Tribolium castaneum: one gene and its partners. The protein of the gene in region 1 binds, or shares a complex with, the protein of each later gene. Links are inferred from orthologs where the notes say so. Each region holds a gene or a part of one and is shown in the gene's direction. Other genes may lie near its edges. The genes, in order: beag, zinc finger matrin-type protein 2 and Prp38.

What was found.
Region 2: beag (region 1) and zinc finger matrin-type protein 2 share a complex: the UniProt entries of both Homo sapiens proteins name them as parts of the spliceosome B complex. The link is inferred for Tribolium castaneum from reciprocal best matches to the Homo sapiens genes IK and ZMAT2.
Region 3: beag (region 1) and Prp38 share a complex: the UniProt entries of both Homo sapiens proteins name them as parts of the spliceosome B complex. The link is inferred for Tribolium castaneum from reciprocal best matches to the Homo sapiens genes IK and PRPF38A.

The regions. Positions count from the first base shown.
Region 1 is NC_087401.1:16,338,009-16,341,743, reverse strand, and holds the start of beag (protein Red), read left to right. Parts: upstream 1-797; 5' UTR 798-1,095; coding exon 1,096-1,801; intron 1,802-3,569; coding exon 3,570-3,735. Other genes in the region: chromobox protein homolog 3, read right to left, coding at 1-383. UniProt on the Homo sapiens protein: Involved in pre-mRNA splicing as a component of the spliceosome. Auxiliary spliceosomal protein that regulates selection of alternative splice sites in a small set of target pre-mRNA species. Required for normal mitotic cell cycle progression.
Region 2 is NC_087395.1:20,717,108-20,719,829, forward strand, and holds zinc finger matrin-type protein 2, read left to right. Parts: upstream 1-1,256; 5' UTR 1,257-1,373; coding exon 1,374-1,973; 3' UTR 1,974-2,022; coding exon of another isoform or gene 2,023-2,088; 3' UTR 2,089-2,130; downstream 2,131-2,722. Other genes in the region: uncharacterized protein LOC656218, read right to left, coding at 2,023-2,088, 2,136-2,328. UniProt on the Homo sapiens protein: Involved in pre-mRNA splicing as a component of the spliceosome.
Region 3 is NC_087396.1:19,988,067-19,991,157, reverse strand, and holds Prp38 (pre-mRNA-splicing factor 38), read left to right. Parts: upstream 1-1,322; 5' UTR 1,323-1,488; coding exon 1,489-1,956; intron 1,957-2,002; coding exon 2,003-2,398; 3' UTR 2,399-2,451; downstream 2,452-3,091. Other genes in the region: vacuolar fusion protein MON1 homolog, read right to left, coding at 2,534-3,091. UniProt on the Homo sapiens protein: Involved in pre-mRNA splicing as a component of the spliceosome.

The DNA.
Region 1 (3,735 bases):
AACATCAACTGCCCGGAACTATCCGTGGCCCCGATTATTTTTTCGGGCTCTAGCCCCCTATCAAACCCGTGCACTTTCTTCTCGTCGTTCTTCCTCTTGGCCCCCTTCATGTCGGGCGTCGGCGTGCTGTTCATCTTGCGCTTCTTGCTGCGCTCCTTGTCTTTGTTGGCCCTTTCGGCCTCGAAAGCCGCAATCAGCCCGGGACAGTCCAGGTTCTCCTCGGGCTCCCATGTGTTGTCCTTGTCGTCGTAACCGATCCATTTCAAGTAGTATTCCTTAATACCGGCCGCATTTATCCGACTGTCGATTATTTTCTCCACAACGTACTCTTCGTTGGCCTCTTGGTCTGCGGGGGAAGGACTCGTCCTCTTGCTTTTGCTCATTGTGCCCTGATGGAGAAAACACACTGTACACACCGGGGGGCGCACGGGGCACACTTACGCCGAATTTTACTCAACTTTGGAGGGATTTCGTGCAAGAAATTAAAATAACTTCAAAAGCCGCAAAACAGACGCTTTGCTCACAATTTTCAAACAAACATGGCGGAGGTGCGCTCCGCCGGTAACAAGCAGGTTCCTACACCCCTATTTACTAATTTAATGAATTAAAAGCCCCAAATAGTGATATTTCCGGTGAATTATTTATTATTCAAGCCGTTTGCGTTTATTCACCGTAACGTAAAGCCCCCCCAGTATGAAAAAAACGGTGGTTAGGCGCCCCAACTGAATCTGCACTTTTTGGTTTGAAACTTTGATAAATTTTGTTTGCAAAAAAAAATACGTGTAGGTTTGCAAAAATACTTAATTAAATAATTACTAAGTGTTAGTTGTGGGACAGGGTTGGAAAGTTGTTTTTTTTTTAATTTTTTCTACGTGTTATCGACAAGAATTTGCTGTTTTTCCTTGATTATTTTGGTTAATTATTCGCGATAGTAATTGTAGTAAATGCAAAAAGCTTGTTTTTAGCATTTTGGGGCTATTTGGTCTCATTTGAAGTGGTTCACTGTAATTTTTTTCTGGCTAGGAGGAAGCAAGGTTATGTGATTGACAGTTGACAGTTCTAGTTGCAACATTCAGGCCCAGTTTTTGGTTAAAAATGCCTTCGGACGCGGCCCCCGGGTCGCAGCGGCTGACCAACGACGACTTCCGCAAGTTGTTGATGACCCCGCGGTCGGCGCCCGCGAACGCGCCCGCCCCCGGCTCCATCCGGGAGGCGATGGCCAACTCGTCGACGATGCCGCCCCCCAAAGACGACAAGAACGAGGCGCGACGCAAGAAGAAGAGCTACTACGCCAAGTTGAAGAAGCAGGAGGACAATAAGATGGCAGAACTGGCGGAGAAGTACCGAGACAGGGCCAGTGAGCGCCGCCAGGGGGTGAACCCCGACTACCAGAGCGACGACCCGGTGGCCACGGCTCAGGCCTATCGTGCCGTGGCGCCTGATCTGAAGTCGGGGTTCGATGCGGCCGAGAGGCGCCGACAGATGATTCAAGAGAGCAAGTTCTTGGGGGGCGATATGGAGCATACGCATTTGGTGAAGGGGCTGGATTATGCCCTGTTGCAGAAGGTGAGGAGCGAGATACAGCACATCGAGCAGGAGCAGGAGCAGGAGTTGGAGAGGCTGGCGGCCAAGACGGAGGAGAAGGAGAAGAAGGAGGTGCAGAAGAAGGATGAGGATGAGCTTAAGTTTAAGACGAAGATTGGGAAGTCGATTTACCACACGATTTGTGCGCTGAAGAGTCGGCATATTGAACGGTCGGAGATTTTTGTGCCCGGACGCATGGCCTATGTGATTGATTTGGGTATAGATAAATTTTTTTCTTATCAATTTTTACACATAAACTACGTATTATAGATTATGTCTGAAATTTTCAGCTGTTCAAGCCTGTAATTCTTATAGACATCTTCTTAAGTTTCGTTTAAAACATTTTCAGATATACCTTTTTATTGTTTCTGTACTTTTTTTTAGATTCTTTTCAAAATCACAAAATTTTTGTGATTTTTTCTTAAAGAGGTCTTTAGATCTTAAATCAGCAAAATTTTCGTTTAGATTCTCCTCTCTTGCTTATAAGAATTCTTCTCTAGTTTCTTTTATAATATTTCTTATTTATTTTTTAGCATTGTTTTTGTATTTTCCTTTAGATTTTTTTAAAGATTTTTGTGATTCTTTCTTAAAGAGGTCTTTAGATTTTAAATCAGCAAAATTTTTCTTTAAATTCTCTTTTCTCGCTTATAAAAATTCTTCTCTAGTTTCTTTTATAATATTTCTTATTTATTTTTTAGCATTGTTTTTGTACTTACCTTTAGATTTTTTTTAAAGATTTTTGTGATTCTTTCCTAAAGAGGTCTTTAGATTTTAAATCAGCAAAATTTTCCTTTAAATTCTCTTCTCTCGCGTATAAACATTCTTCTCTAGTTTCTTTTATAATATTTTTTATTTATTTTTTAGCATTGTTTCGGTATTTTCCTTTAGGTTTTTTTAAAGATTTTTGTGATTTTTTCCTAAAGAAGTCTTTAGATTTTAAATCAGCAAAATTTTCCTTTAAATTCTCTTCTCTCGCGTATAAACATTCTTCTCTAGTTTCTTTTATAATATTTTTTATTTATTTTTTAGCATTGTTTTTGTACTTACCTTTAGATTTTTTTTAAAGATTTTTGTGATTCTTTCCTAAAGAGGTCTTTAGATTTTAAATCAGCAAAATTTTCCTTTAAATTCTCTTCTCTCGCGTATAAACATTCTTCTCTAGTTTCTTTTATAATATTTTTTATTTATTTTTTAGCATTGTTTCGGTATTTTCCTTTAGGTTTTTTTAAAGATTTTTGTGATTTTTTCCTAAAGAAGTCTTTAGATTTTAAATCAGCAAAATTTTCCTTTAAATTCTCTTTTCTCGCTTATAAAAATTCTTCTCTAGTTTCTTTTATAATATTTCTTATTTATTTTTTAGCATTGTTTTTGTACTTACCTTTAGATTTTTTTAAAAGATTTTTGTGATTCTTTCCTAAAGAGGTCTTTAGATTTTAAATCAGCAAAATTTTCCTTTAAATTCTCCTTTCTCGCTTATAAAAATTCTTCTCTAGTTTCTTTTATAATATTTCTTATTTATTTTTTAGCATTGTTTTTGTACTTACCTTTAGATTTTTTTAAAAGATTTTTGTGATTCTTTCCTAAAGAGGTCTTTAGATTTTAAATCAGCAAAATTTTCCTTTAGATTCTCTTCTCTCGCTTATAAAAATTCTTGTCTAGTTTCTTTTAGAATTCTTCTTGTTCATTTTTTAGCATTGTTTTTTTACTGTCTTTTAGATTTTTTTAAAGATTTTTATGATTATCTCCTAAAGACTTCTTTAGATCTTAAATCCGCAATTTTTTTTATATTCTCCTCTCTCGCTTATAAAAATTCTTCTCTAGTTTCTTTTAGAATTGCTCTTATTTATTTTCTAGCATTGTTTCTGTACTTCTTTTTGGATTTTTTAAAGGTTTTTGTGATTCTTTTTTAAAAATTTTTACATGAATTTTAATGTTAAAATTCCTATTAATTTAATACCAACATGACTATTAAAATTTTATTTCAGACGATGAGGCTGAATCAGACATTCCAACAACTTTAATCCGTTCAATCGCCGACGTTCCGTCATTTGAACTCACCACAACCCTCACAACCAACGACATTGTCATAAATAAATTAACCCAAATTTTAAGTTACTTGCGCCAAGGCAACCGAAAGAACAAAAAAACCAA
Region 2 (2,722 bases), on another chromosome or scaffold:
CGCTGCATGTAATATTGTATCAAATAGATTTTGATTACAATCTTTATAGTTTCGCCATAATCGGCTTTTTAAAATTGATATTTTTTTTAATATCACCTTAATCACTAAATATCACCTTGTTCCACTAAAATTTTTTGCAACTTTGCATTTTGCATAAATTGCAAATTTTAAAGTTAATGTCTTCCACCAATCTTTGCATTTGTTTTGGCATATTTTTGTAAAAAGAAGTATTTTTGCTAAGTATATTTTTTGCTAAGTGTGCAAAATACTGTTGTTGGTGGAACATAAAGGTGTTCGGGAACGTGCAAGCGCAAAGTGTAAAAGTCGTTTGTGGAATAGAGCCCACATCAGAATTTTCTGATAATGTAATAATAATAATATTACTCAAAAGTTGGCAACAATCGTATAATTCTATGTTAGCAGTTACGGTTTTAAATATTGAAAGAATTTTATCATATAATAGAAAATACACCTTGAACTTTATTTTAAAAAATTGGTTTATAATGTTTCACAGCAATTAATACTTGACCACATTCAAAATATCAAATGGTAGCGTAATTAATTGTCTAGACTAAGAGCGCCGGTTTACAAAACATTTTAATTGCAATTAAATTTTAATCGCGGTTAACTCGACATTTGTCAATGTATTTAATGCTACTTAATTTGAATTAGTTTAATTTTGAATTAAATTCAATTTGATTTTTTGTAATTTAAATTAATTTAATTTATTTGTACTCGACTAGAATATTAATTTTTGCTTCGACCATAAAACTTGGAACACTCTGTATAATTAGTTGCGTAGGCTGCCATTTGAATATTGTGTTGCCTACCCAAAATAATAATTTGTTAAAAATTTAAATTTTTTGAGTTATCCACTTTTTCTTTGGTATTTATAACTTATAACTAACTCATAACGTAGTGGTAGTTTGAACAGCCACAGACTGAAAAATTGCAAACGAAAGATTCTGTGAATTAGATTTTAAAAATTAATAAAAAAATTGAAATAAATAACTAATTGTCTTGATTACGGGATTTTTTTGATCTTTTCCCATCTTAAATTTTTAAACAGGTAACCCAGCTAACTTCGTTAGATGTAATAGCAGAGTCGAATAACCAAAAAATTAAAAAATCTATTAAGTATTCTATGAGTTTAATGAATTCAATTGTAATAATCTAATGATATATATAAACATCCTGAATGGCGCAAATTCGCAATTTATTAGAAAATGAACCTTTATTCTTATGAAGTTAGCAACATAACCTAACCTTGAAAATTTGACAGCTGTCAATGTGTACTGCAGTTTGTCAACACTGTTATTGTACTTGAGTTTTTATTAATTGATTGTGATCCTGCTAAAGAAAAATCATCAGAAATGACTATGCGACCAGACGACCACCGCCGAAAATGGGACAGGGACGAATACGAGAGGTTAGCCGAGGAGCGCAAGAGGGAAGAAATCGAGCGCCTCGAAGAAGAAACCAAGAAAAAGAAAGGCCCCCCGGTGAAACGTGAAATGCTAAAAACCCGAGAGTATAAAGTAGACCTGGATTCAAAGCTTGGCAAAAGCATTGTAATAAACAAAAACACACCAACATCACAATCGGGGGGCTACTACTGCAACGTCTGCGACTGTGTTGTTAAAGATTCAATCAACTTTTTGGATCACATCAATGGCAAAAAGCATCAACGAAACTTGGGAATGTCGATGCGGATCGAACGCAGCAGTCTGGACGCAGTTAAACGAAGGTTTGACCAAAACAAGCGGAAAATGGAGGAGAAGAAAAAAGATTACGATATGGCAGCTCGCATGCAGGAAATTGCCGAAGAAGAGGAAAAGCTACGCGAATACAGGAGGGAGAAAAGGAAAGAGAAGCGAAAAGCTGAGGAAATGTTGGAAGAAACATCTGAACAAGCAAGTGAGCTTGCTAGCATTATGGGATTTGCAGGTTTTGGATCGTCTAAAAAAAAGTAGCAAAATGTCTTTCAATACCTTTATTACAATAATTTAGATTTGTTGAAGTTTAAATAAAAATCAATATTATGCTAACTAGTAAGTGAAGTACAGTTGGAAGAATCATTGTGTCAGCCTGTAAAAAATAATTGTAAATGAAATAAATGTGAAGGAACAAGTTGCCTTATTTTCTTTTTTCATATATTCCTCAGGCATTGGGTCCTTGACTTTGGGCGTCTCCTTCACATTGTCACAGCTTATTGTGAGAATACTGTCAATTATCGACTGTAGAAGTTCTTTAGTTGTTGCTGCAGCGCTGTTTCCACACACTTTCGCAGTTTTGATGTAATAACAGTCAGCTATGTCTTTGTAAGCCCTGAAAACAATTAAATATTTGATCAAAGAAGCCCATGATGTTAAATAAGTTTCGTAACACTCAAAGGTAACATGTAAGTACTATTAAATTCAAATGTTAATTATATTTTATTAAGTTGCCGTTGCACCAAACTTGATTGCATATTTTCAACTTTTTAGCTCCAAAACTTGTTGAAGGCTTGAAAAAAGTAAAAACAATATTTTTGGCTAATTTGGCGATTTTTTCAAAGTTCGTAACGAACTTTTCGATGTAATCGCGTTAAAACGCAGTGGCGTGTGGTGTGAAAATATCTTTATTTTTTGTAAAAATGAATTTTACTAAATTCCATATCGACCACTTACAAATAAACCAATGAAATGTCTTTGACTTGACGTCATGCTTTCATGTATGTCGT
Region 3 (3,091 bases), on another chromosome or scaffold:
ATGCCATTATTCCCCCCGATTTTTCTTGTTAGGAAGTTCGGCCTAAATCTTGTTATATTTAGATAGTGCCAACTGTCTTGTACAGCATTTTGGTCATTAGGTGATTCATGTAACCACATCTAAACATCATTCTCATGTGGAACAATAACATGCGTGTGACATTTTATGTTCAGTGTATTTCTTGTGCTTCTTTTGGTTTTGTTGCTTATGTCCGACTGATTAGAAACAAAATTCTAGCATAGTTGAGTGTAAAACTTTGTGATCCAATGGACTGAAATCTTAGGATGTGTTGGATTCGTCATGTATACAAAAATTTGCAAATATTTTAACGAATTTAATATTTTTAAGGGATAAATTGTAAATAGTTAAAATTTTATTTGATAAGTATTTATTATTTTGTTATTAATATACGATATATACGAAAACTGCAATTCTGGAAACTTGTACCTAAACAAAAATGAGAAAAACGAGTGTGTTAGGAGCATTATTTTATATTGTATTACAAACGTATATTATAAATAAAAAACTTAAATCATTGGAAATAAATATTCACGCCCACTTTTTAAGTTAGTTGGAATGTTTATCGGGCTTAAACAATCTAAAAAAATATAAAAACAAAAAATTCTTCGAAAAATAACTTATGTATATAGTCCACACGTTTGCTGCCTGTGTTTCACTGTTATTGTTATTGTATTCACTCATTCTGTTATTGTCTGTTTTCCACAATACAAACATTGCAAGACTTTCTACAGCAGTTGATTTTCAATTTTACTCCACTTCGAGGTGGTGAACGTGTTAAGTAATAAGTAAATAGACACTAAATTTATAATATACTTCTCAACAAACATAAAATAGACAAATAAAGCTAATGCCTAACTGTCTCAATGTCATCAATAAAGTTTTTAAAACGATCGCAAGTGTTTGAATCACCCAATCCCCCAAAAAGCAATTTTACATCTTTAACAATACCATCGATACGCTCATTTGGATGCGTTAATAATTTTCTACTTGCATAAATACTATTTATTAAATTATGAGCGTTTGTTCATGTTTAAATTAGAATGGTGTCTGGTGGTAATAACCAAAGTTACCAAAGGTTGGCACTTTTTGTGGGATTCCCACCCGCGAGTCACGCCTGGGGACTAGACGATATTAGCAAATAAGTTTTTATGAGAAATTCGGGAAACGTGAAACTTGTTTATTATTGAAGAACTAAATTGTTTCATACGTGTACTATTGTTTAATTTTGTAATGTATAACCTTAGCCTGTATTTCCTAATTGGATTATTCACACAGTATTATTTGTCTGTAATTTTTTTCACAATGCAAAGCAAAAAGTCTGATAAGAGCGAACCATTTTTAACCTCACTTTGTGTTTACTACAAGCGTCAACAATTTCTTAGAATTTATTGATAAACTGTGCATTTCTGTCGAATTCAGTTGTGCATAAGGTGCGTTAGTGAGTTTACAAATTAAATTAGGCCAATTATGGCAAATAGGACCGTAAAAGATGCCAAATCAATCCATGGCACAAATCCCCAGTATCTGGTTGAAAAGATCATCAGATCGCGAATTTATGACTCTAAATACTGGAAGGAGGAATGTTTTGCCCTCACTGCAGAGCTTTTAGTAGACAAGGCAATGGAATTACGATTTGTGGGTGGTGTTTATGGTGGCAATATAAAGCCAACACCATTTTTATGTTTGACACTAAAAATGCTACAAATTCAACCAGAGAAAGACATTGTAGTTGAATTCATCAAAAACGAGGAGTTTAAATACGTCAGAGCCCTCGGTGCTTTCTACATGAGACTCACAGGGTCGTCCTTAGACTGTTACAAATATCTTGAGCCTTTGTACAACGACAACAGGAAGTTGCGGCGACAAAATCGCCAAGCGCAGTTTGAAATTGTACACATGGACGAGTTTATTGACGAATTGTTACGAGAGGAACGAGTACGTGTTTTTTTTGTTACGGTAGATAGTAAAATTAATTTTTAAGGTTTGTGATGTTATTTTGCCACGCATTCAAAAACGCATTGTTTTGGAAGAAAGCAACGAACTCGAAGCCAAGATCTCGGCCCTTGAAGACGACTTGGACGAAGAGATTGAACTTGAGGAAGAAAACAAGTACGAGTTGGTTGAAGAAAAGCCCAAAGAGAAGAAAGAAAGGGAGAGGAAGCGGGAACGCAGCAGATCCAGAGAAAGGCATCGCAGTCGGAGTAAGGAACGCCACAAGAAGGAGAAGGACAAGGAGAGGGACCGCGACCGGGAGAAGGAGCGCGATAGGGAGAGAAGAGACAGGGAGAAGGAGCGCAAGGACCGGGAGAAAGACCGCGAAAAAGAGCGAGATCGTAAGGATAAAGACAGGAAACGGGAGCGAGACAGACACCACTGATTTTTCAATACATCGTTTTATACAATCAATAATTAAATACATCAACAAGTTTAGGATTGTGAATATCACAGATTAAGCCTATACCTTAGATTTCCACAAAATTTACATATTTATAATATATACAAATCAAATGGCTCAAAAAGTGGGCGCATTGAGATGAAACAACTTCTCCTCCCTTTTCTTAATCCAGTTCAGCAGCCGCCCCACTGAGTTAATCGCACTGTTTGTGTCAATCAAGGGCTCGAAAACTACATAAAGCTCAAAACCTCTCGTATCCCACGCCAAAATCGCCTCGTCTGAGTTTTTCTCAAATAACAACTTTAGCGGCCTCGTCGAGCAATGCAACAAGTTATGCGCCCGTTTGTACAACTTTGTTAGTCTCTCGTTATATTTGGTGTACGGTGGGGTCAAGCTTGGTTGGTAGAACTGTGCTGTACTTTTGCATTTGTACAAATAGTGCCTAAGTTCGGGGAAACCCGCAACAATGCAAGTTTCTTCTTTCGCACTCAGCGACTCATTGATTGCTTCTAAGCAGTTGCTGCGTCGCAGTTTTTCCACTATGCGTTGTTTCGCCTCACTTAGGGCAAAAAATACGTCCCTTTCCACCGTCAGGAGGAGCAAACACGCTTGACAGTCTTCAGCCAAGTAGGACACATGTCCGTATAAAAAACCACTAGCGTCAAACCGTGGAAG